Linked DNA regions of Tribolium castaneum. The main gene of each other region encodes a partner of the protein of the gene in region 4 in a complex. Links are inferred from orthologs where the notes say so. Each region holds a gene or a part of one and is shown on either strand. Other genes may lie near its edges. The genes, in order: LSm3, U5 small nuclear ribonucleoprotein 40 kDa protein, U6 snRNA-associated Sm-like protein LSm5, Prp6 and LSm7.

What was found.
Region 1: Prp6 (region 4) and LSm3 share a complex: the UniProt entries of both Homo sapiens proteins name them as parts of the U4/U6-U5 tri-snRNP complex. The link is inferred for Tribolium castaneum from reciprocal best matches to the Homo sapiens genes PRPF6 and LSM3.
Region 2: Prp6 (region 4) and U5 small nuclear ribonucleoprotein 40 kDa protein share a complex: the UniProt entries of both Homo sapiens proteins name them as parts of the U4/U6-U5 tri-snRNP complex. The link is inferred for Tribolium castaneum from reciprocal best matches to the Homo sapiens genes PRPF6 and SNRNP40.
Region 3: Prp6 (region 4) and U6 snRNA-associated Sm-like protein LSm5 share a complex: the UniProt entries of both Homo sapiens proteins name them as parts of the U4/U6-U5 tri-snRNP complex. The link is inferred for Tribolium castaneum from reciprocal best matches to the Homo sapiens genes PRPF6 and LSM5.
Region 5: Prp6 (region 4) and LSm7 share a complex: the UniProt entries of both Homo sapiens proteins name them as parts of the U4/U6-U5 tri-snRNP complex. The link is inferred for Tribolium castaneum from reciprocal best matches to the Homo sapiens genes PRPF6 and LSM7.

The regions. Positions count from the first base shown.
Region 1 is NC_087399.1:10,142,986-10,147,162, reverse strand, and holds LSm3 (U6 snRNA-associated Sm-like protein LSm3), read right to left. Parts: upstream 2,020-4,177; 5' UTR 1,883-2,019; coding exon 1,862-1,882; intron 1,813-1,861; coding exon 1,705-1,812; intron 1,659-1,704; coding exon 1,482-1,658; 3' UTR 1,464-1,481; downstream 1-1,463. Other genes in the region: SCAR (actin-binding protein WASF3), read left to right, coding at 1-1,146. UniProt on the Homo sapiens protein: Plays a role in pre-mRNA splicing as component of the U4/U6-U5 tri-snRNP complex that is involved in spliceosome assembly, and as component of the precatalytic spliceosome (spliceosome B complex).
Region 2 is NC_087399.1:11,298,279-11,303,981, forward strand, and holds the start of U5 small nuclear ribonucleoprotein 40 kDa protein, read right to left. Parts: upstream 3,996-5,703; 5' UTR 3,898-3,995; coding exon 3,787-3,897; intron 3,739-3,786; coding exon 3,609-3,738; intron 686-3,608; coding exon 1-685. Other genes in the region: uncharacterized protein LOC656468, read right to left, coding at 5,515-5,621, 5,672-5,703. UniProt on the Homo sapiens protein: Required for pre-mRNA splicing as component of the activated spliceosome. Component of the U5 small nuclear ribonucleoprotein (snRNP) complex and the U4/U6-U5 tri-snRNP complex, building blocks of the spliceosome.
Region 3 is NC_087394.1:33,639,783-33,643,804, forward strand, and holds U6 snRNA-associated Sm-like protein LSm5, read right to left. Parts: upstream 2,110-4,022; 5' UTR 1,973-2,109; coding exon 1,930-1,972; intron 1,827-1,929; coding exon 1,630-1,826; intron 1,548-1,629; coding exon 1,518-1,547; 3' UTR 1,488-1,517; downstream 1-1,487. UniProt on the Homo sapiens protein: Plays a role in pre-mRNA splicing as component of the U4/U6-U5 tri-snRNP complex that is involved in spliceosome assembly, and as component of the precatalytic spliceosome (spliceosome B complex).
Region 4 is NC_087399.1:6,882,466-6,887,433, forward strand, and holds the end of Prp6 (pre-mRNA-processing factor 6), read left to right. Parts: intron 1-1,516; coding exon 1,517-2,029; intron 2,030-2,080; coding exon 2,081-2,638; intron 2,639-2,924; coding exon 2,925-3,209; intron 3,210-3,257; coding exon 3,258-3,593; 3' UTR 3,594-3,630; downstream 3,631-4,968. UniProt on the Homo sapiens protein: Involved in pre-mRNA splicing as component of the U4/U6-U5 tri-snRNP complex, one of the building blocks of the spliceosome.
Region 5 is NC_087399.1:1,124,807-1,128,828, reverse strand, and holds LSm7 (U6 snRNA-associated Sm-like protein LSm7), read left to right. Parts: upstream 1-2,049; 5' UTR 2,050-2,182; coding exon 2,183-2,209; intron 2,210-2,263; coding exon 2,264-2,578; 3' UTR 2,579-2,650; downstream 2,651-4,022. Other genes in the region: ENGase (cytosolic endo-beta-N-acetylglucosaminidase), read left to right, coding at 1-930, 1,117-1,589, 1,641-1,758; glucose-induced degradation protein 4 homolog, read left to right, coding at 3,011-3,157, 3,348-3,515, 3,717-4,013. UniProt on the Homo sapiens protein: Plays a role in pre-mRNA splicing as component of the U4/U6-U5 tri-snRNP complex that is involved in spliceosome assembly, and as component of the precatalytic spliceosome (spliceosome B complex).

The DNA.
Region 1 (4,177 bases), about 3.3 Mb from region 4:
CGTGACGACGGCAAAGACGGTCTGAAATTCTACACCGATCCGAACTACTTCTTCGAATTATGGCGTCAAGAAATGCTCAACGACACCGAACGTATGATGCACGACCGTGGCAAGAAACCACACCGACCACGAACCGAAGGCGGCCAAGGAAACCGCCACAAAAAACGCGTCCGTCAACCACACAACACCCGCGAAAGACAAAAGCAAATCGCCGTAGGCCACGGCGAATACATCATGCCACAACAAAACACCATCTATCGCACCCCACAACCCATCATCCAGCAACAACAACAAATGTTACCAACCGAAGAAATGATTGAACCACGCCCACCACGACCGAACTCAATCGAAATACGACGCTCGTACCAACAGGAAACCACCGACGGTCTCCATTCCCCCACTTACCCCCCGTACGAGGAGTATGGCCAAGGCCCACTCAGTTCCGAATCATTATACCAAGGAGGCACGCCCACACGAGGCGGTAAAGTCCGCCCAAGCCAGCCCCCACCCGCACCACCTAGCAACACGAGCACGCCCTCGTCCAATACCCCGACGCGAGGGCGGAGCCTCTCCGGCCGCGACAACCTACCACCACCGCCCCCACCACCCGACACGACCATGTCACCGCCCAACGGCATCCCCGCACATCTCGCCACCCAATCGCGTTCAAACAGTCCGCATCAAGCCACACCTCCCGAACCGGTGCAAGACTTACCTCCACCACCGCCCATACCTAAGCAAGCCTCGCCCCCCAAACAACAAACTCCACAAGCCCCGCCTCCGCCACCACCTCCACCAATGCCGTTACTGAACGGCCCGACGACTAGTCCCCCATTGGTTAACGGCGATTTGGCGAAAATTATAAATAGTGCGTCGCCGCCGCAATTGACACCTGTCAAAGATCGGCCAAAGCAGGCGCCGCCTATCGTCGATCCCAGGAATGATTTACTCAAAGCTATCCGAGATGGGATTAAGTTGCGCAAGGTGGAGAAGATTGAACAGAAGGAGGTGGAGAGAGGGAACGGTTTCCACGATGTTGCGAGTATTTTAGCTCGGAGGGTTGCAGTCGAGTTTAGCGATTCGGATTCAGGAAGCGATTCGGAGTGTGATAGTGAGGGTTGGGGCGAAAATGAAACGTCGGCGTGACATAGAAGGAAGGCTAGCACGGCTAGTCAAGTGTATTGAAGCAACGAATTTTCAATTTTTAACGAGCAAACTTTAGCAATATGCCAAATTTCCAGTATTATTGAGGCATTGCATGATAAGCTTATTAGATTGCGTTTACAGTGGATGGTTTTGACTTGGGTTGAGATGTACATATTGTAATGAACGTTTTATTTATAAATTAAGTTGTATAGAGAATTATTTAACTCGTACTATCCTAATACTCCTTTTTAATATTTTAACCAATTATCAGGAAATCTTTGTAAAATACGATATTTAATGGGTAAATAAACATCATGTCAACGTATGTGTTTTATTTACGAAGTGCGCATTGGGGGTGAGACCAAGATCACGCCGTCACCTCGGACGAAAAGCATGGGAATATTACGTTTCGTCGTTCTGTAAACCTCTTCATATGTTTCTTCATCGATTTCAACCGTGGTTATGGTCTCTTCGGCGTCGCTCAGGATCATGTTCATGTGTTGGTCATAAGCCTGGAATTTCGGTTTGTGATGGATGGAACTTTGTTAGACAACTTACGTGGAGTCTGCCCCGGATTTCTCGATCGTTTCGCATTTTTACATAAATACGTTCGTCTAAACTTAACCTCACTAAATCGAGCGGTTCTTTGACGGTGATTGAGGGAATCTGAAAGGAGTGGTAGGTGAAATGTAATTCTAAATGAAATGGGTCTTACATTTTCTAAGTCATCTGCCATTCTCACGAAAGATGATACTTGTTTGTAATATTAAATTAAACAGGCCAAAAGTTAGGTTAAGTTGTCGTTACAGTGTCGCCACAATAAGAACACCTTTTTCGATTTTAACGATATTCGGACAGACCGGTCTTGGCATGTAATAAAATTCGGGCGGAAGGTGTTTTTTTGAATCTAAAAAAAATTTGTTTTTTAATTAAAGCCACAGATTATTACCGCGTTTTACTTTTTAAAATAATACAATCACTCGTTTTAGGGATCATGCATAGTTTAACACTCACTAACACTTAGAAATCGGCAGATTATACAGGGTGATTCTTTTAGGACCTACATTAGAGACTTTTTAACTTTAAAAAAAACTAGTGCTTTAAAAGCGACTATTTGAAATTCAACTAAATTATTTTCAAAATTTCTGAGCTTCCGGAACCACGACAAATTGGCGCCAACTTTAAAATTTTGAAGAGTAACTAAACATTTTTATTACATTTTTTAATTCACTCTCTCAAAGTGAGTAAAATTTATTAAAATTGTTGGTACTTATCTGTCTTAGTTTTACATATGTCAATTTTTTTGGTAAAATTTTTATTTGCAAGGGTTTATTTAAATTATCACAGCCTTTGAACCGTTTAGGAGAAGTGAATATATTTTTTTTTAATTCGATTATCGGAGTTTCGAAAAGTTTTCTAAAATTTTCAAAATTGTCAACTGTCAAAATTCAAGGCTAGTATGATTTTTTTAAATGGTTATTAAAAATAAAATCGGCTATAATTCAGTTTTTTCAAATGGATCGACTCTATTTTCTTAACGGCAATCGAAAGAACAATATTCATGGTGATTTTTATCAACACGTCCTGTACCTTACCTGTTACAGTTTTTGAAAAAATCACAAATAACGGATTTTACTTCGTAATTTTTATAGTTAATCAAGTAGACCTTGCAAAATGGTCAACAATTGTCAAACTTCGACACTTTACTTAGTTTTTAGCTGGTTCATTATCAAATAAGCAGCAAAACATTAATATTTAATTATGGTTTATGCTAACTTAGTGAATAACTCAGTCAGTTTGCCATCGAATTTTGAACTTTTTGAGTGAAAATGGGGGACAGTTTTAAAATTTCTGTTAATCATTAGTACAATTTTATCGTATTTTTTGAAAGGTTACTCGATTAAAAATGAAAATAATTACCTTGAATTCGGTTTTTTGAGATTATTTCAAAAACTGTAAGAGATAGATATAGAAGATGTTAATAAGTCTGCATAAAAATTGATGTTCTTTTGATTGCCATTGAAGTCATTCCATTTAAAAAAACTGTTCTATAATTGTTTTTTAATTATCATTTTCAAAATATCATAGTAGCCTTGCAATTTGACAGTTGACAATCGTAAAGATTTCAGAAGACCCTTCGAGCCTTTGGTTATCAAATGCAAAAAGAATTATTCACTTATTTTAAAGTACTCAAGAGCTATGATGTTTTAAATAAACCTCTGCAAATAAAAAATTTATCAAAACATTTGACATATTTCAAAAACTAAGACAGATAAGTACTAACAATTAGGTTTACATTTTACTCAGTTTCAAAAGGCGAATTCAGAAACACAATAAAAATAGGTGGTCACCATTTAAAATTTCAAAGTTGTCGCCAATTTCTCGTAGTTCCGGAAGTTCAGCCATCTTGAAAATAATTTAGTTTTAACTCAGAGTGATCGATTTGAATCGTGTACAAAATTTTAAAGCTCAACCTATGTTAGAAGTTAAAAAGTTTGTAATATAGGCTCTAAAAGAATCAGCACGTATATAAAATTACTGGTTGCTAAAGTCCATTCGGAATTAAAATCAATTTTCAAATTGTTTCAACGTTGGCAACTCCATTTAAAATTAGTCGTCTATGTCAATGTGGCAGGGTTCCAACATAATTCCAAAATTTTTGACACTGACAATTAATTTACAAAAAATGAGGTTTATAAGAGAAAGATTATTAGCACCGCACTAGACCTAGCTACCAACCTAACAACAACTTTCTATAGCTTAAATAACCAAAAGCACGACCGACATCCCAATTTAGGGAATTCCAGCAGGTGGATTGGCAATGATTATTCCACCAATTGCATTTCCGTTGATTCCGTATCTTATTTTCATTTCCTTAAAATAAGACGTCGCTGCATCTACCACTACTGGCTAATAACGTAAGCATTTTTAACTTTACACAGTTTCTGTTGCCCTTCATAATACATTTTCAAAGAATGGACTTCCACACTTTGTCTTCAAGCGACTCCATTAACCAAATAAGATGCACCTC
Region 2 (5,703 bases), about 4.4 Mb from region 4:
ATCCTCCGAGAGGTGGTATCCCAAATGTAGAGAAACCTATCAGCTGATCCTGAACTAACCTTAGACCCATCTTTGGACCAAGCACACCGCAGAAGATTCTTCTCGAAATTATGCTGATGTCCCGTAAAAACCTTAACACACCTTTCTTGGGGCGCATATGGCCTTACGTCCCATATCCTCAGACTATTATCCATCGAATTTGATAATAAATACGAACCGTCTGGGCTCAAAGCCAACCCTGTCACCGTATCCGTGTGCCCCTTAAGTGTATAAATAATTTCATGGTTGCGAATATCCCACACTTTTATATCATTATCAATCCCTCCGCTGAAAATCTGTTCAGCTGTGTCGTTAAATTCAACAGCAGTGACTTGATAATTTGAGTTGAAAGTTGTGACGGATTGTTTTTTGCGAATATCCCATAATTTAATCGTGGTGTCATCGCTGCCTGAGACCAACATTTGAGGGCCTCGTCTCGCACCTTGGACCGAATTAACAAAAGTAGTGTGACCTTTGTATTTTTTAATTCTTTGACTTGTTGGTAAATCCCAAAGGCCAAGCGTGTGATCAGTGCTGGCTGTGAAAATGTTAGTGCCATCTGTCGTGAAGTGGAGCTCCATGACAGCACCCGTGTGGCCACTCATTACCGATAAATTTTCACACTCACCGTAAACGCTCCAAACGACTGAAATCGCACATGTTTTAAACCAACATATTTAGTCTAGACAAATAGGCCTTTAAACCAAATTTTTTGATGAAGATTGCCGTAAAGTATGTAAAAACGACTCTTTTTTTTTTCAATACTTAAAAGATGTTTTTTCCAAATTCTTCAAAATAGGTAAGAGCTAAGAAAAATATGTAGATCTTTAAAACTAATCAATTGATATACAAGACAATAAAATTTAATTTTACTTTGAGATCTTGAGAAGATAATAGTGAATTTTATCGTGTGCAATACAAAATTTTATTCCATCCTCCATTATTTCGATTGAGTTACTGAGCTATTTTGATTGACAGTTATAAACGTCAAAAACTCAACAAAAACAACAATAGTTGTGAACAATATTATTTCTCTAAGTGATAAAATTTCATTTATCCTTGACGATGGAATAAATAAAATTTTAAATAAAAATATAGTTTGGATTCTTTTAATTTCATTATGAAAATGAACAGAGTTAGAGTGATTAGAAGTAAAGAAATGATTGTACAACTTAAAAAAACAGAATAAAATCATAAAATTTTCTGTTGAATTGAATGCGGAAGACGTTTTTGAATTTGGTATTGCCTTTATTATAAAAAAATAAAATTTTTCGAAAAACTATAATTGATAATTTTCTTTATTTACATCCTCATATGTTCCTTCTGAATAAAGTTAGAAACCTTTTTGGAGAAGATCCCTAAATGAATATAAGTTCAGACGTATATAGGGTGAGTCTTAACTTACACGCATAAATTTAGGGAATGATAGCCTTTCTAGTAATAGTTATTTACAATTTACCTGTAGTAGGTAAAATTTTACAGCGTGAAGTTTTAATATTGAAGCTCGAAACGAAGTTGAGGGCTTTAATACAAAAATTGAACCCTGTAAAATACCTAACGCACAAATAACTTGCAAAACTGGTTGGCCAAATATCGCTAAAAATAGATAAATAATTACCACTCAGCATTTAGATTATTTTACCACGCAATGTCAACATTTTACTTAGCAAATGACTAAATAGTAGTCATTTATACGGACTAGAAAATTAAAAAATTCTAGAATGAAACCATAAAATTTTCTGTCCAATTATTCTACAGAGTAAACTTAATATAACACATAAAATTTATATCTTAGTTATGGCTTATTTTTTTCAATACACAAATCAATTTTATTTTTAGAAACGCTAGTCTTTGACATCCAGTTATTGAGAAAAGACATGTTAAAATAACATTTTAAATAGCCACCAACTTTTTTGTTTACTATTTTAGTACTACACTCCTTCATATTTCTGATAAATATAGGGTGCTCAAAAACTGGCGCACCAACTCAGTGGTACATTATTGAGAAGCAAGTGCAGATTACGGGAAAAATGTTTAAAAAATTCCTAAAGTCATATTTTGAAAAATCTGGAGCTACAAACTTATTGTGTTAACTTCTTTAGTTTTCATTATTTTTTTTATGTATTTATGTTTCATACCAAGTAATCGTTCCGTAACAAAACGATGAATAATTATTTTCAAATTTACTATCAGATTTTAGCAGTTTTTTTAATTTAAAAAAATTAAAATTCATCCAAAAAATCGCAATGTGTAAATGTGCCAACACTGGCAATTATTTCCTAGGAAACCGTTTCAAAAATAATTTATTTTTATTCTTGCTCAACTTCTGTTGCGATCATGACTGTTAGACAACGTTGCCACATATCATTTATCCAAAATCCGTTATTTATCAATAACTTTAATACAAAGAATTTTTTACTATTTTTACCTTTATATGTAACCAGTTCTCTACCACACACCAATGAGTTGGTGCGCCAGTTTTTGAGCACGCTGTATAATAAAATTCAAACAAATGGAGCAAAAAATCAAAAAACAAAAAGAATAAAAAAATGAAAGAGGTAAAAAAGTTATGAATAATTTTACACAAGGGCTTTATTTTTCTGTTTTGGCTTTATTTTATAAGAACGATTGTTTGTTTTTCCTTATTTTTTTGTTTTTAGGTTGTTTTCATATTAGTTAAAAAACAAAAATAAAAAACATGCACCCCTGATAAAACAAAGCAATAACAATTCGTGTATACATATAGTCGATTTTTTTTATAATCAACTGTCAAAGAGCCGTCAGGTTAGTATTACCATAAATAGTAATTTTTACTAAGATGGTACTAATTTTTACCTGGCAAATTTAATTTAATGGTCTTTAAGTTACAACACGCACAACACATTTTTTTAAAAGGCTAACAAATTCTAAAGACTAACGAATTCAAATTTCATTGGCTGCAAAAATTGTCCCGAATGTCAAATCTGGTGTGTAAAATGTCAAATACAGAATACAGCTAGTTTCGAAAGTGATTAGACATGAGATTTTGGTGTGATACAGTCTGGTCTTTATCAAAATTTTGACACTGACAGTTAATTATAAAAAAGAATGAACTGTAGTTATCAAATTATTTTTAACAGCTAATGTACCTGTACAAAATTTAAAAATATTCTTGTTACAAATAGTTTTATTTTTGAATAAATAAACTAGTTCAGAATATTTTAAAAATGAACATTTGCTTCCATTTATTTAACTTGGTAATTTTTAACTACTATTGGAACCTGCACACAGGCGGCCAATTGGCATGGCTCAGCCCTGCTAACATCAACTGATGAATTATGTTGCACAAACAATTGGAAAAACAGCTTTAAGCTTATTATTTACATTTTTATCAATAACAATTGAAAATTTTTTACTCTTAACTTTCGAATTATGTTAACCCCCTGAATCAAATTCCCAACGCACGGGCGTTAATTTTAAGACACCCTCTATGTACTTCAAATTACTATATTAGATATTCAAGTAAATCCTCCAAAATTTTGATATGAAGACCTATTTGGCTGAACCTCATTGCAAAAAAAACAACTTACAAATTCTACGGTCGAAACCTGATGAAGCTACATATTGACCCTCAGGGTGGAATTCCACTGTGAAAATCTCACCCTCGTGGCCCTCCAGTAACATAATGGGGGCAAATAGATTGGAAGTTCTCGCAGGGGCCTGAAATACATGATTTGAGGAGGGTTTTTGAGGTTAAGTGTTACTAACCGCTTGTAAGACCGATTTGTTTTTGTTCGATGTGGCCACTTCATTTTTCGATTTTTTGCTTACGGGGACTAGAGATGATGAATCTTCGGCTCGACGTTTCTCAACAACCATTTTTGGTGTTTTAAACAAAAATTGGGAGGAAAACAATAACCTCACTTTTTAGCGTCAACAAAACGAAGCGATAAGCGCCCTCTGGTGGAGAGCACGAAGTACGATTTGATTGTATACCCTGTTTCAATTATATAAAACAAATAGTTATCTCCTTTGGAATAAATGTTTGACAACAATGAAATGGTTTCCCAATGTCGATATCTAAAAATTATTTGGTTTTTTACTTGCCAAAATTTCGAAAACGATTAATATTAGCTCACTTAACTCACTTTGCGTAATTCTTATTACTTTTTTGCTCTAAAATTGTCAGTATTTTCCCGGTACTAACAGATTTTTGTTAGTAATTTGCAACACTGAAACACAATTAAGTTTCTCTTGGCAAATATTTGAGGTACAACCCCATAAGACTGTTGCATTATTGCGCCATCATTTTTAGTGTGTCGTACTAATTTTTTGGGATTAGAAACTCCTGTAATTTTATATCTTGTTTCATCTCCTAAGTTTAGGAGGAACCCCCGGAGTTTAGGCTCATTTTCAAACTACAAACATCTTTTTTGCGTAATTTTACTAAAATAGATTGATAAGAATGATATCTTCCAAATTATAGTCGTTATTATAGTCTGCTTTGTTTGATTCAGTAAAGTTTCGACTTAAAAACTACATATTTTCTTAAATTCTGTCAGAAGAAACTTAAAAATCAGCAAACTTGATCAAAATTAGATACTAGATACTAATGTTTTTTGTGTAATTTTGGCAAAACAATCCAAAAGGTTGTTAAATCGTGTTAAAAATAATGTTATTTGTCTATTTTCAGATGTTTATTTAATATTTTAGCACTTTTTTTCGTGAAAAAACACCGTGAAAATCCTTAAATTAACTAAAAATTGACTTGACTTTGGTTTATTTTGCTCAATTTTTGAACTCATTTAAACTCTAAAATAAATCAGTTTGTAAAAAAACTCTTAAAATGACACTAAAAATCATTAATCGAAAATCCCAAATTTGTTGGAAAATTATGTTATCTGTGCCTTTTTTAAACGTAGAATTTTGTTAACAGACCGACATTGATTAATGATTTCTTCCTCTTAGACGATATTACAGAAAAAACTTAAAACACTGATTGCATGCCAAAAAAATTGCCTAAACATTTGCAAATATTTACGTACGTTTCTTCCAGAATATGTATATCCTGTTTTTATAACTCATTTTAATTAATTTTTACTTAAAATATTTACTTCCGTGCCTACGGAGAGTGTGATGCAACTAATCTAATAAAAATATTTAAAATAAGTGCTCAAACATTAAACTTTGCGACACGCAAAGTGGATAAATATTTGCGGCATTCCATCAAAGTTTGCGTAATTTCCATATTCTGTAAAATGCATGTGTTAGATGGAAAGAAATAGCAAAATAAACATTTATTAAAGTGGATTAGCAGATTATTTCAACAATAATAAATAGACTAAAACCTACGTCATAAAAAATTAATATCTTGCAATAATATCATCAACAACAAATCGTGTTACACATTTCACATTTTTTTAGACTAGTTTTAACTAAAATTAACTCCGTCAAACAATTCTCTGTCTTTGGTTGAATAAAAACACACAGTTTTTCCTAATAGTGCCGTCGGAACGGATCTTTAATATAAGCCCCACGTTTGGTTTCTTCCCGAATAAAAGTGAAGTAACTGAAGACCACAAGCCACATGTAGACGTAAATAACTGAAACAGGAAAATAAGAAAAACGAAACTATAATTTTTCAAATACTTACTAACTGCAATGATGCCCAAAACAATCCATAAT
Region 3 (4,022 bases), on a different chromosome or scaffold from region 4:
CGTAAATATCGATTTCTATATCTTAAAATTATTATAAAACAGTATTAGTACTTGTGCCCATATCGTTTAATGAAGTGGAACATTCGTCATTTCAATATCCATTATATCGTATTTATTGAATTGTGAATTTGTTGCACGATAAGTGCTTGTTTTGTTATGGTTTGTTTTGTTACGTAGACATTTTTAACACAATTTTCTTGTTACGTTGGGTAAATTTGGTAGTAGTTCATACAAGGTTTGTATGTTCTGGTTCCAAACTTCCCGGGAGAAGTAAAATTAAAGATACAAAATTGTAAGAATAGGTACAAAATTAGCCAACTAGGATAAATGAACCACGGAGTGTGTCGTGGTGTTTTTCCAAGTTTTTCCTGATAGAGTTAGTTTGTGTAAAGGTTAACTAGGTATTACTAGACGACTGTGATTGGAACATGGCTCACTAAGGTGCGGTTTAAGAAATTAGTTGCCTTTGTAGTACTTATTATATTCATTAGTTACATCGAAATTAGCTTCTACGTTAGTTGAAAATTGTACAAATGAGGAATTACACTCAGGGTGACTACATGATACAGTCGGCTTTAATTTCAACAGACTTTAACGGGGATTAGTGCACAAGGGATTATGTTTATCCATATTTCGGAATAATAGGCATAATTTATGTATCGTGCAGTCAACCTTTTTAAATCAAAATAGATATTACAAATTGTGGTTGATGAATAATGAGTTTACGATTCGTTGACTATAAGAGATGTTTAATGCAAACCCTGAATACAGTATTTTCTGAGATTAAACTTAACAAAGTTTCAAAATTCTGTAGAGTAGTTTAATCAGAAACTTAAACTTGAATAGTATTCTAACTGTGATTAAAAATGTCTATTCTATTTCTATAAATGAATAACAGTACAACGGTGTTTTATTTCACCCCCACCTTAGTTTAGTGATTCGTAGAATGCGCTGGAACAAACCATTTTGCTTTACGACTTTTTTGAGTTACGACTTTTTTTAGTGAAAAAAAAATGCTGCTGGCCGGCTCTCTTCAAATTATGGAACTATTTTGGTCCAAACCTATATAAATGTTCCGGGTACCGGAAATCGAGACAAAAAATTGGATAAAAAAAATCGAACATATGGACTTTTAGCAACTCCAGTGGGTTCTAAATTGCGTAAAAAGCTGATATATGGTAAAATGAGCCGCAAAATTCACTGGAACGAACCGTTTTTACGACTTTTAGTTATTTTCTAACGTCGTTCCATTCCTTTTTTCATTGTAAAGGCCTGGAGTAGTTGGCAACACATTATACAACAAGATAAGGTGGTTGCCTAACCCGCGATTACAAAGTAATGTTCTGAACAACTTATTTTTTTGTGTTAAAAGGCCCAGTTAGGACAAATTTGACACAAACACATCTCTCCTTAAATGTACAGTGTTGTTTTCATCAAAAATAAGAGCTTTTTATGATACAAAAAAGGGTATTAAACAAACACAAAAATGCCCTTATTTTATACTTTATTCAAATGACTTACTCTGGCATCTCTCCACCTGGAACAAGCTAAAATTTTGAATTAGTTTCAAGAATTAATTAGATACAGTATGGCATATTAAACATAAAAACGAAGCACAAAATAAAGTACCATTGTTATATTGTTCCCATTAAGCAGAATTTGGTCCAATTTAGTAATTCTCCTTCCTTCAGGCGTTGTTTCATATTCCGTTACATCCTCCAGTAACATATTGACAAAATCATCAAAGCCTAATAACGTCCCCACGATTTCCTTATCATTTTTCATAATAATATGGATCCTTGACCCTATACACTTATCCACAAGTTCTACAATAGCAAAAACAACGTTAATAAATTAATGATTATTATTGAATGCTCAAACACCGGCAGATAACCAAAAAAACACGTTACGTTTTTTTGCTTTACTCACCTAACGGAAGCAAGGTGGAAGAAGACACAGGCATGGAAGTCATTCTGACCGTTTAATAATACGTTCAAATAATTATAAATTCTTAAATTAGCAATAAATATTTGAAACAACTGTTTACATTTACAAACAGCAAAAAGTAATCAATTTGACAGTAAAAAGGATTTTGACAGGAGCTTAATGGCGCTAGTGTCGCAACTACAGCAAAAAGCTCAAGCTAGGACTTACGTTACGGAACCGAACAATTTAATAAACGATCAAAATACGGCTTAAGACAATTACAAAAAGTAGTGGCACACGTTTGTTAAGACTTTACCGCCTTATGGTTACATTTTTACGGCGTGGAATGCATGAATTGTTTTTATTTTTTATTTCTTTTGGAGCGCGTATGTGCGAGCTTGGAGCTCTTGCAGTGTAACAGGTCATGCGCTTTGCGGCTTTCTTCGGTATTTCAGTCGTTTGTCGTTTTCGTCAAATGCCGACCGAGGTGGGAGTTGAGTGTGTTGTAGTTGTAGGTTTTGTGTTTTTTGTAATAAATAATCGTATTTTTAAGTGAACTTGTGTCTAAAATCGTGACAATAATGTTCGTGGAGTAAATTTTGGAATTTAAAATCATCAATTTGTAATAAAAGGTCAGTATACTCCAGTTAATTGAAACAATGGTGTTATTTTGGTTTAGCCTATATTTACGTTCTCTAAGAGCTTTATACCCCTACACATTGATTTATTCCTCTTTAATATGATTTATAACGCTCTATTTTTATAACACGACAGCTCGAGAGCGTATAATTTATATCGGGGAATAAATGGTAATTGTAGCAGAATGTGAATGCTTAGCTATTTTTATTTCTCAGGAGTTTTTCTTTTATTTATATTCGTGTTACAGTTATCTTGGAAGAGTTCAGTTGCCCTGTCCATGCTGTTTAAATAAACACATTAAAATGCTACTTGCAGCAAACAATATTCTATTATGATAACTTGACCACTGTGGTTGACATTATCATTATGTGGATTATTATAATGAAATTGTGATTAGACACGACCGATATACCTATGGGAATAATAAACATTCTTTGGATATACCGCTAACAAGGAATGTGGCCAGGAAATTCCTGAACGAATTTGTATTAATCATATTCTATTTTTCCCAACGTTCCTCACACAAAGTGTTTGTTTCCACAGATTTTTATAAAGTTCACGTTAGTTCTAATGTATTCCAATATTTGTGGCGAAAGAAAGTAAACTCATCTCCATTTCCCTGAAAGCTATTAAGAAAATGTCAAGTGGATTTCCACATTTTTACTTTCAGCATATTACAGGTACACAGGAGGAAAGCAACCAAAAGACATGCAAACGACAGGATATGCCGTTGAAATGGGCATTTTTAGATAAAAGACAAGTTATTTACTCATGTCAAACGCAAATTGTTTTGATTTTAAGCACAAAAAGTGTACAAAGTAATGATTACTTCCAACACCAAACATAGGAACTTAGACACTTTGCTAAGCAGTAGTGTTTATAAATCATGACGTTGTTTACCTAAATATCAACGCGGAACATAAATCTATAAGTGGGGAATATCAACACTGATGTAGAACTATGAATAAAATTTGAATAATTTTGATGTATCGATTTCAGCATTGTGCATTATTACCGATGCCAGAACGCATATCATGAGCATGAAAAGCAGGAGTGGTGAAAGTAATAACTTTGACAATAACTGTAGAACGCATAATAGGATGGACTTAACGGACCATCGCGTATAAAAACGCCATGATATGTTTATACAAAAAATACGCTTAATGCTTTATTGTATTCTAAATTCAAAGAACAAAGCGCCAAAATACTTTCAAATTTTTACATGATAAGCTTCTCGTGACTTCCTCAAGGTGAGTCTAAAATATAAACTAATTACTACACAAAATTCAGCGTTTGCTATTAAATATTCTCTGTGCATGTGATTTTTTGTGACTAATTATTATAGTCGCTGCACAGAAAAACTATTACTCCTTATGTCATTCATAAAATAACCGATGCTCAAATGGTGTTTTGGGCAAAAATTCACGTAAATTAACAAATAAACGTATTTTTTACGT
Region 4 (4,968 bases):
TTTTTTTAATTTGAATGAAATTAACAAAAAAATAAAATTAATAGTCAGTCATGAGAATTTTTAAACAAAAATTTAAGATTTTTGTAGTGTTCATATTTTTTTTAAATTAGTGAATTTATTAGTAGTTATTAATATAGCATTTTTAAAGTACTTACCCATTAACTATTGCGTCTATTTTATCGAAAATTCAATCATTGCACATATTTTATTAAGTGCGGTTTTGTAAGACATTTGTTTCATTAGATTTCTTCAAGATTTAGTAGGAGTTTCAACTTTATACTCAGACATGTGCAGTTTTATTTATGACAAGCTTTGAGGAAAGTTTTTATTTGTTTTATGATTCTTGACTATAAGCAAGTTTTAAGCTTTTTTTGCATCTATAATGGCTCTAATATTTTTTGGACCATAAAAATCTAAGTTGTCAAAATCAAACACGCTTAAAAGCGAAAATTAAAATACACTTAAGTCGAAAAATCACTTAATTACGTCGACAGTTAACTTATTTTGTGAAATTTAGTTCATAAATGTTGTTATTTTTATGTATTTTGTATTTGTTTTAAGAGTGAAAATTAAGTAGGATAATACTTAATAATTAATTTATTATTTGGTTTTATGATTTTTCCCCTCATTATTTTGTTTATTATTTTTTTGTTAAATGTAAATGAGACTGAAGACAATTTTTTAAACAAAAATTGACCGTTTCTGTAGTTTTTTATTTTTTTAAATTCACCACAAAAATTCTTGTTTGAATATTTTGATGTGAAAAATATTTTAAAATCGAAAAATTAATAAAAATAAACTTTTTTGTATTTTATTTTTTTGTTTCTGAGTTAAGATTATGTAATGACATAAGTTTGGCGTCTTGTTTTTGAGTAAAAAACTTACTTATTTTTTGAAATTTTGTCAAATATGACTAAAACAGATCGAAATTGACATTATTTTGAAGTGTTTAGTATCTTTTTAGCTTTCTTAATGAACCAAAGGCTAACTATTTTTACGAAAATTTGGTAAAACGGTGCATAAGTCTTTTTATTACATTGAAAATTACGTAATTTTGAGCAGAAAACTCACTTTTAAATGACAGTTTTGTCAGTACGCTTGTTTTTTGTATTAATTTTTTATTTTTTTTTGATTTCCTTTTCATTGCAATTTATTGTGAGTCGAGTAAATAAAACCCGTTTGATTTAACAATTTTATTACATGGTCTTGTTAAAACTGAAAAAAAATTGTTTAAGGATTGTTAAGGATCGTGATTAATGTTTTTCAATAACAATAAAATCTTATAAAAGCTTAGGTAAAAAATTGTTGGAAAAATGCAGGCAAAAAGAATTATATAATTTTAGTAATTGTACTGTTATTTTTTATTATTAAGCGTTTTCTTTTTTTATTTACCTTTTTAGTAATTATTGTATAATCTTGCTTTATTTTACATTATCTTATTTTTTGTACTTCTTTTATTCCATAGTTTTATCTTATGTTTTCCTGTCTCAACTGTTTTTTTTTCTCTAATTTCAAGGCTGCAGATGTTGAAACCGAAACAAAAGCCAAACGGCGAGTCTACCGAAAAGCCCTGGAACACATCCCGAACTCAGTGCGTCTCTGGAAAGCCGCCGTGGAACTGGAAAATCCAGAAGACGCCCGAATTCTCCTATCCAGAGCAGTGGAATGTTGCCCCACTGCTGTCGAACTATGGTTAGCCCTCGCAAGACTCGAAACGTACGAAAATGCCAGAAAAGTCTTAAATAAAGCTCGAGAAAATATTCCCACTGATAAACAAATCTGGACAACTGCGGCCAAGCTGGAAGAAGCCAATGGTAATCACGCCATGGTGGAGAAAATCATCGAGAGGGCTATAACTTCATTAAGCTCGAACGGAGTTGAGATAAATCGAGAGCACTGGTTTAAAGAAGCTATAGAAAGTGAAAAAGGGGGCCACGTGCACTGCTGTCGCGCCATCGTCAAGGCAATCATCGGATATGGGGTGGAGCCCGAGGACCAGAAGCACACCTGGATCGAGGACGCCGAAAATGTAGGAAAAATAACCATTTTTTTTCCAATTTTTTGCAAATATATTTTTTAGTGTGTGAGCCAGGGGGCGTACGAATGCGCCCGCACTGTCTACAACCACGCCCTTGCCACCTTCCCGGGCAAAAAATCAATTTGGTTGCGTGCCGCCCATTTGGAGAAAAACCACGGAACGCGGGAAAGCCTCGAGGGGCTCCTTCAACGAGCCGTTGCCCATTGCCCCAAAAGTGAGATTTTGTGGCTCATGGGGGCGAAAAGCAAGTGGTTGGCGGGTGACGTACCCGCAGCCCGAGGGATCCTCGCCCTGGCCTTTCAGGCTAACCCCAACAGTGAGGAAATTTGGCTTGCTGCAGTCAAACTTGAGTCAGAAAATCGCGAATATGAGAGGGCGAGAAGGTTATTGGCCAAGGCCAGGGGCTCCGCCCCCACGCCGAGGGTCATGATGAAGAGTGCCAAGTTGGAGTGGTCGCTCAATGACTTGAAAGCGGCCCAGAATTTGTTAGATGAAGCCTTGAAGGTCTTCCCGGATTTCGCCAAGTTGTGGATGATGATGGGGCAGATACATGAACAGGAGGGCGAGTTGTCGAAGGCTTTCGATGTGTATTATGGGGCGGTGAGTCGAATTTTCAATTTTTTTTCCAAAAGTGAGGTTGGGTTTTTGAATTTTTGACTCACTCAGTTGGCAACATTGACGCGTCCAACCAAATATTTTTAACATTTTTGCTTAAAAAACGCGATTTTGCGTGCGAAATTGATTGAATTTGTCCTTCACGGCTATTTATTCAAGAGTTTGTCTGTGTAAAAAGAGGAAATAGTGAATTTATCGAAGTCTAGTGCAACCTAACCACACTTTCGCCCCACATAACCTCACTTTTTTATTGTGTTTTTTGCTTGAACAGATCAAAAAATGCCCGAATTCCATCCCGTTGTGGATTTTGCTGTCTCGCCTCGAAGAAAAGCGCGGTTTGTTGATAAAAGCGCGCTCAATGTTGGAAAAAGCCCGCTTGAAAAACCCCAAAAACGACCAACTGTGGCTTGAGGCAATCCGTATTGAAAAACGGGCCGGTATGAAAGACATCGCGAACGCAATGATGGCCAAGGCGCTTCAAGAATGCCCCACTTCGGGGCCCCTCTGGGCCGAGTCGATTTTCATGGAAGCGCGGCCTCAACGAAAGACACGTTCTGTAAGTACTGTCAGTTGAAATTTTCGAAAATAATTAATTTCGTGATAGGTGGACGCGCTCAAGAAGTGCGAGCACGACCCACATGTCCTCCTAGCCGTCAGTAAGTTATTCTGGTCGGAGCGTAAAATCGGGAAATGCCGGGAATGGTTCCAAAGGACTATTAAAATCGATTCGGATTTTGGAGACGCGTGGGCTTATTGGTACAGGTTTGAGCAGCTTCACGGAACGGTGGAGCAACAGGAGGATGTGAAACAGAGGTGTTTGGCGGCGGAGCCCCATCATGGGGAGTTGTGGTGCTCCATTTCCAAGGACATTAAGAATGTGGGGCTGAGTAATGAGCAGCTTTTAACCCTGGTTGCGAAAGAAGTTGTTATTCCAGTCTGAGTTAGTGTTACTTAATAGAAATAAGCGAGGACAGGTATTTTTTTCCAGTTATTTTTTCCCTGTTCCTTTTTTCTTGTGTTGGTTTGATTTGTGCACGGTATGAGGGGCTAAATATTACGTGACACGGTCTTGCAACTGTAAAGTCTGTGGTGAATTAGAGTTCTGCAAAAATTAATGGCAAACTTTATGCGACTTTTATATTTCTCTTTAAATGAAATATCAATTAAACAACTTAAAACATTTGTTTTCTAACACAAGAATCATAAAATTAACTAACCAAAGTTAATGAATGTCGTAACTAATCGTTAAAATAGACCAAAAAAATCGCCAAATTATGTTGATATTGCATTATTTTTGCTTTTAGCTTGTCTTTGTCACACCTACAATCATTATGCAAACTTTTATTAAATGTGGGTGGAAATAACCAAATTAAGTCGAAAATTGTGTTATTTTTCAGTTTTTAAACCTATAAACACGTGTATAAACAAAAATTTCAGAGCTTCTGTGAAATTTTGTTAAAGCAAATGCAGAAAATTGAGTCGATAATTACCTGTTTCGGTCGTTTTACATCCCGAAACGCAATCATGTCGTTAAATTTCGTGAAACTATGCCGAAAAATCAACAAATGTAATTCAATTTGATGTTTTTTTACCTGTTCCACGGAAATTTTATTTGATTAGGTGTTGTGACAGAATTATTTATTTGCAAGAACTTATTATCTTACCTGTCTCAGTCGATTTGCTTCGTTTTTGAGTCGAAAATATTTATGTAAATAATCAGAAAGTTATTTGATATCGCAATGTTAAATAAAACACGAGAAAAAATCATCGAATTAAGTCGATAATTACATGCCAAACGTAATAATTTTCAGTAATTTTCCTGTCTTTCGTTTAATTTCATGTAAATAATTTGAAAATTCAATAAATAAAAGAAACCATAACTTTGGTTTAGAAGCAGTGTGAGGAAATTTTATGGGGTGGCCATGAGGCCACAACCGATCAGCTGACTCGTCGTAGCGCTCTCGCGATGTTCATATTTATCCATGAAATGGTCCGTTATAGCGCGTGCATTGGCGTAGTTTACTATGGTAGCGCTCAGCTCCGTTTGCGTGTGCGTCATCTGACATTTCTGTCACTACGTTTACATAGCAGGGGCATAGCGGTGACAAACTATCAAATATTTTTTGAGGTTACGAAGTGTTTAAATTATGAGTTGTTACAAAAAATACAGATTCACAAAACAAGAACTAATAAACGCAGAATCAAAAACCTAACGAAACGCAAATCACAAAACACAATAAACGAACAGAAAATACTTGCGATTAACACCGATAACACTTTCGACAACCATGCGATGACGTCTATAATTTACTGTC
Region 5 (4,022 bases), about 5.8 Mb from region 4:
CATTGCGATGCGAAAAAATTCGGTCCACGAACGCGTCTCGATAAGAGATTTGTTCCCAAAACTTTAGTGTGCCATGACTACAAAGGTGGCTATTTGGAAGACAGGTTTTTGTCAAGTAGCAACATCGGGAATTTGTACTCGTTTTATAATTGGCAACACATCGATATTTTCGTTTACTTCAGTCACCACCTAATCACAATCCCACCTTTGTGTTGGATAAATGCCGCGCATCAAAACGGCGTGAAAATTCTTGGAACTTTGATAACAGAATTCGAGCCGGGGAAAAAAATTTGCGAGAAGATTTTCAAAGACGAGGACACGATGCGAATTTTCGCAACTTCTTTGACCCAAATTTTGAAAATTTTCCAATTCGACGGGTGGCTCCTCAACATCGAAAACTCGCTCCAAGACACCGAAATGTTGAAAAAATTCGTTGCCTACTTAGGGGTGCAAACGCACACCCAAAACCCCGACCATTTAATCATCTGGTACGACAGTATCATTGAAACGGGCGAATTGAAATGGCAAAATGAGCTCAACCCCCTTAATAAATTTTTCTTCGATAATTGTGACGGTATTTTCCTCAATTACGTATGGACTGAGGAAAATATCCACAATTCGATTGAATTTGCAAAGCATCGGACTTTGGACGTTTACGTGGGGGTGGATGTCTTCGGTCGCAATACCTTCGGAGGCGGTCAATTCAACTGTTTCAAGGCCGCCCAGATGATAAGGAGACACAACTTATCAATGGCGATTTTCGCGCCAGGCTGGACGCACGAAACGCTGCCCAAAAGTGAAAATCGGCAAAAATTCTTCGAGGATTTTATTAATCGAGACTCGGCTTTTTGGAACAGTCTGTGGCCCTATTTATACACGCATCCCATTACGAGGTTCTTCAAGACCAGTTTTTTCACTGGAGTTAACCAGGTATTTAACTAATTAATTAGTTATAACGCGCCCAAGTTCGTATTACGAAAAATAGTTCGCCCTTTCTCTCTCACTCTTTCCTATCGGAACTCCTATAGCTCTGTCCTTGTCTTATGTAAATAGCGGGTTATAACTTTTTAAGTAAAATTATAATAACTTAATAAAAACAAATGCATTAATTTTAAGGACGTCTACGACCTGTTCACGCAACACCCGCAACTCTCAAAAATCAAGCACCCAAAGTCACTAGAATGGGTCCCCAACCACCACGAAATACCAACACTGAACAATAAGTGCAACTGTTTACAGTGTGCTTTCACCAGTACTGGTGTTAGGTGTTTAATTACTAAAGAATTTTTGAATAGTTCAATATGTTACGTCCATCGTATTTTCACCTGTGATATTTTCCTATCTGGAGTTATCACAATTTACGTTTTGACGAAACTAGTACGCGCACAAGCCGCTCAATTAAGTTTAAATCTCCTCACTTCGGATAAAAACGGTACAATTAGAAAAATTAAATGCAATAGCACCGTCAAAGAACACCTAATTAAAAACTGTACGTTAATGGAAATCAATCCTTCGATAAACCCCTCACTTGTTAATCACGTCGTTAGAAGTAACGACGATTTGTTTCTACACGAAAATTTAACAATTGCGTAAGTCGGTCACACGTTTGGTAGGAAAAAAAAACTAATTAACTTTTTCAGTGTTTATCAGTTTGATTGTTCGCCGTGTACGTTATTGGAAATTGGATGTACGTTAGAGGAGGGAAAAGCGATTTATTTGTGCGGTCTTGGAGTCGAAGAGCACGTTCTAGTACTCTGACACAACTTTCGTGACCAACAGTACAAACAATTTTCTGCCATACTGTACATTTTGCCAGGGCTTGAAGCCCAAATAGTTAACATGTATTAATGCTTTAGTAACGCCCCAATGTGTAAATAACTTTTTTTGAATAAATGATAACCGAGAATTTTGCATTTTTCATTTGAAACTTTGTACCTCCACTGCGCAAGCAGTCCTCTACAAATTGTGTCCCAAAATTGCGTCAATTTTTACGTAATTCTTTAGAAGCTAAGAAAATTAATTACGAAATTGCTGGACTTTACAAACCGATAATTATTTTTTTTTATTTCAAAATTAATCGGAAGGTTCCGTGCGCATAGGAGACCATATGCACGCGTCACCTCCAAACGTATTCTAGGTTAGAATTTCAAAATCGGCAAAATTCCACAAATAAAGCCGAACAATGGCATCGTCAGGTGACAAATCAAAAGTACGTACCCCAAACTGCCCCATTTCGCCCCCTCAACCCCCATTTTTACCGTAGAATCAGAGCGGTGACCAAAAAGAGAAGAAACGTAAAGAGTCGATTCTAGACCTCTCTAAATACCTTGAAAAGACAATTAGGGTGAAATTTGCGGGCGGCCGAGAAGCTAGTGGTATTTTAAAAGGCTATGACCCCCTTTTGAACCTCGTCTTAGACAACACAATCGAATACTTGAGAGATCCAGACGACCCTTATAAATTAACAGAAGACACGAGGGCCTTGGGTTTGGTGGTCTGTAGGGGCACAAGTGTCGTGCTCATATGCCCCATGGACGGCATGGAGTCCATACAGAACCCCTTTATATCCCAAGACTAAGTTTTGTACCATAAAAATACCTCTAATTTGTAAGACGTTTTTTTGAATAAAACCGGTAAAAAATTAATAAAACTGTTTTATTGCACAAACTAGCTCAATAAATTAATTAGAAGTTTAGTTATAATGAGCGTAAGCAACCACCAATGCTTATAACCAAAAGTAATTAAAGCGTACACACAAAAAACGTGTTAATTACGCTTGAGATTAACGAATAATTGCCCCAAATAATAAATCTGGGTTGATTCAGTTGATTGCAAAAATGGGTTTTTCTGTCCAAAACTACGGTTGAGTACAGTCGCCCACACATTTAATGGCCCTGTTGCGCACCGAGCATGCGCAAAAACGCTCTGACCGACTCGGATGACTCACCGCCGCCATTTTCCTTTCAAAAAAGTGACATTGGTGACAGTTGAGTGCAAAAGTGCTTTAAAAATGCCGGTCAGGGTGGATATTACGCCTCCCCCGCCGGCCAATTCAAAACAGCCGGGGGTAACAAAGTCCCTCTTATACAACGGCTCCAAATTTCAAGGTTTCCAGAAATCGAAAGGCAATTCGTACGAAGTGGAAGTGGTTTTACAGGTTAGAAGTTGCAAATAATCGCACCATTGCCCCCCTTAACCAAAATTTCGATGACTTTGTACCGTTCGAACCCTTGTAGGACGTGTGACGTCCCTTTTGCTCACCGCTTATTTAAAGAAAACTAAAAATATCAACATATGCTAATGCAATCCGAAATGGCGGGAAATTTAAATTTCGCTCGTTTTTCCAGCACGTCGACGAGGAAAACTCCTATTTGTGTGGCTATTTGCAAATTAACGGGCTCACCGATGAGTATCCCACCTTGACTACGTTTTTCGACGGCGAAATTATCAGCCAAAAGTACCCGTTTTTGACCAGAAAGTGGGACGCCGACGAGGACGTGGACAAAAAACACTGGGTGAGCACCCAAATCTTTGTTTTTAGCACAATTTCAAAAATTACAAGTAGCCAAGCATCGCAGCTCACTATCTTATAATTATTATTTTCACAATCTAGAAGGCGCCAACCCAAATGTCAACTGTTAATGGACAGTCACAGCTTACTATCTTAATATATTTTTTTTTGTATAATTATTTTCTTAACATATCTCTTGTTGCAGAGCAAATTCTCGTCGTTTTCCCAATACGCCAAAACGTTCAATTCGGACAATTTCGATTATAAGGCGCTCGGCGACACCGACTATGTTTTTATGCGGTGGAAGGAGCATTTTCTTGTTCCTGACCATACGATTAAAGACATAAGTGGGGCCTCGTTTGCCGGTTTCTATTACATTTGTTTTCAAAAATCTAAAGCCACAATTGAAGGTTACTACTACCACAGAAGCAGTGAATGGTTTCAGTCGTTAAATTTAACACATGTGCCTGAAAATAGTATACAAATTTATGAATTTAGGTGAATTGGTTGA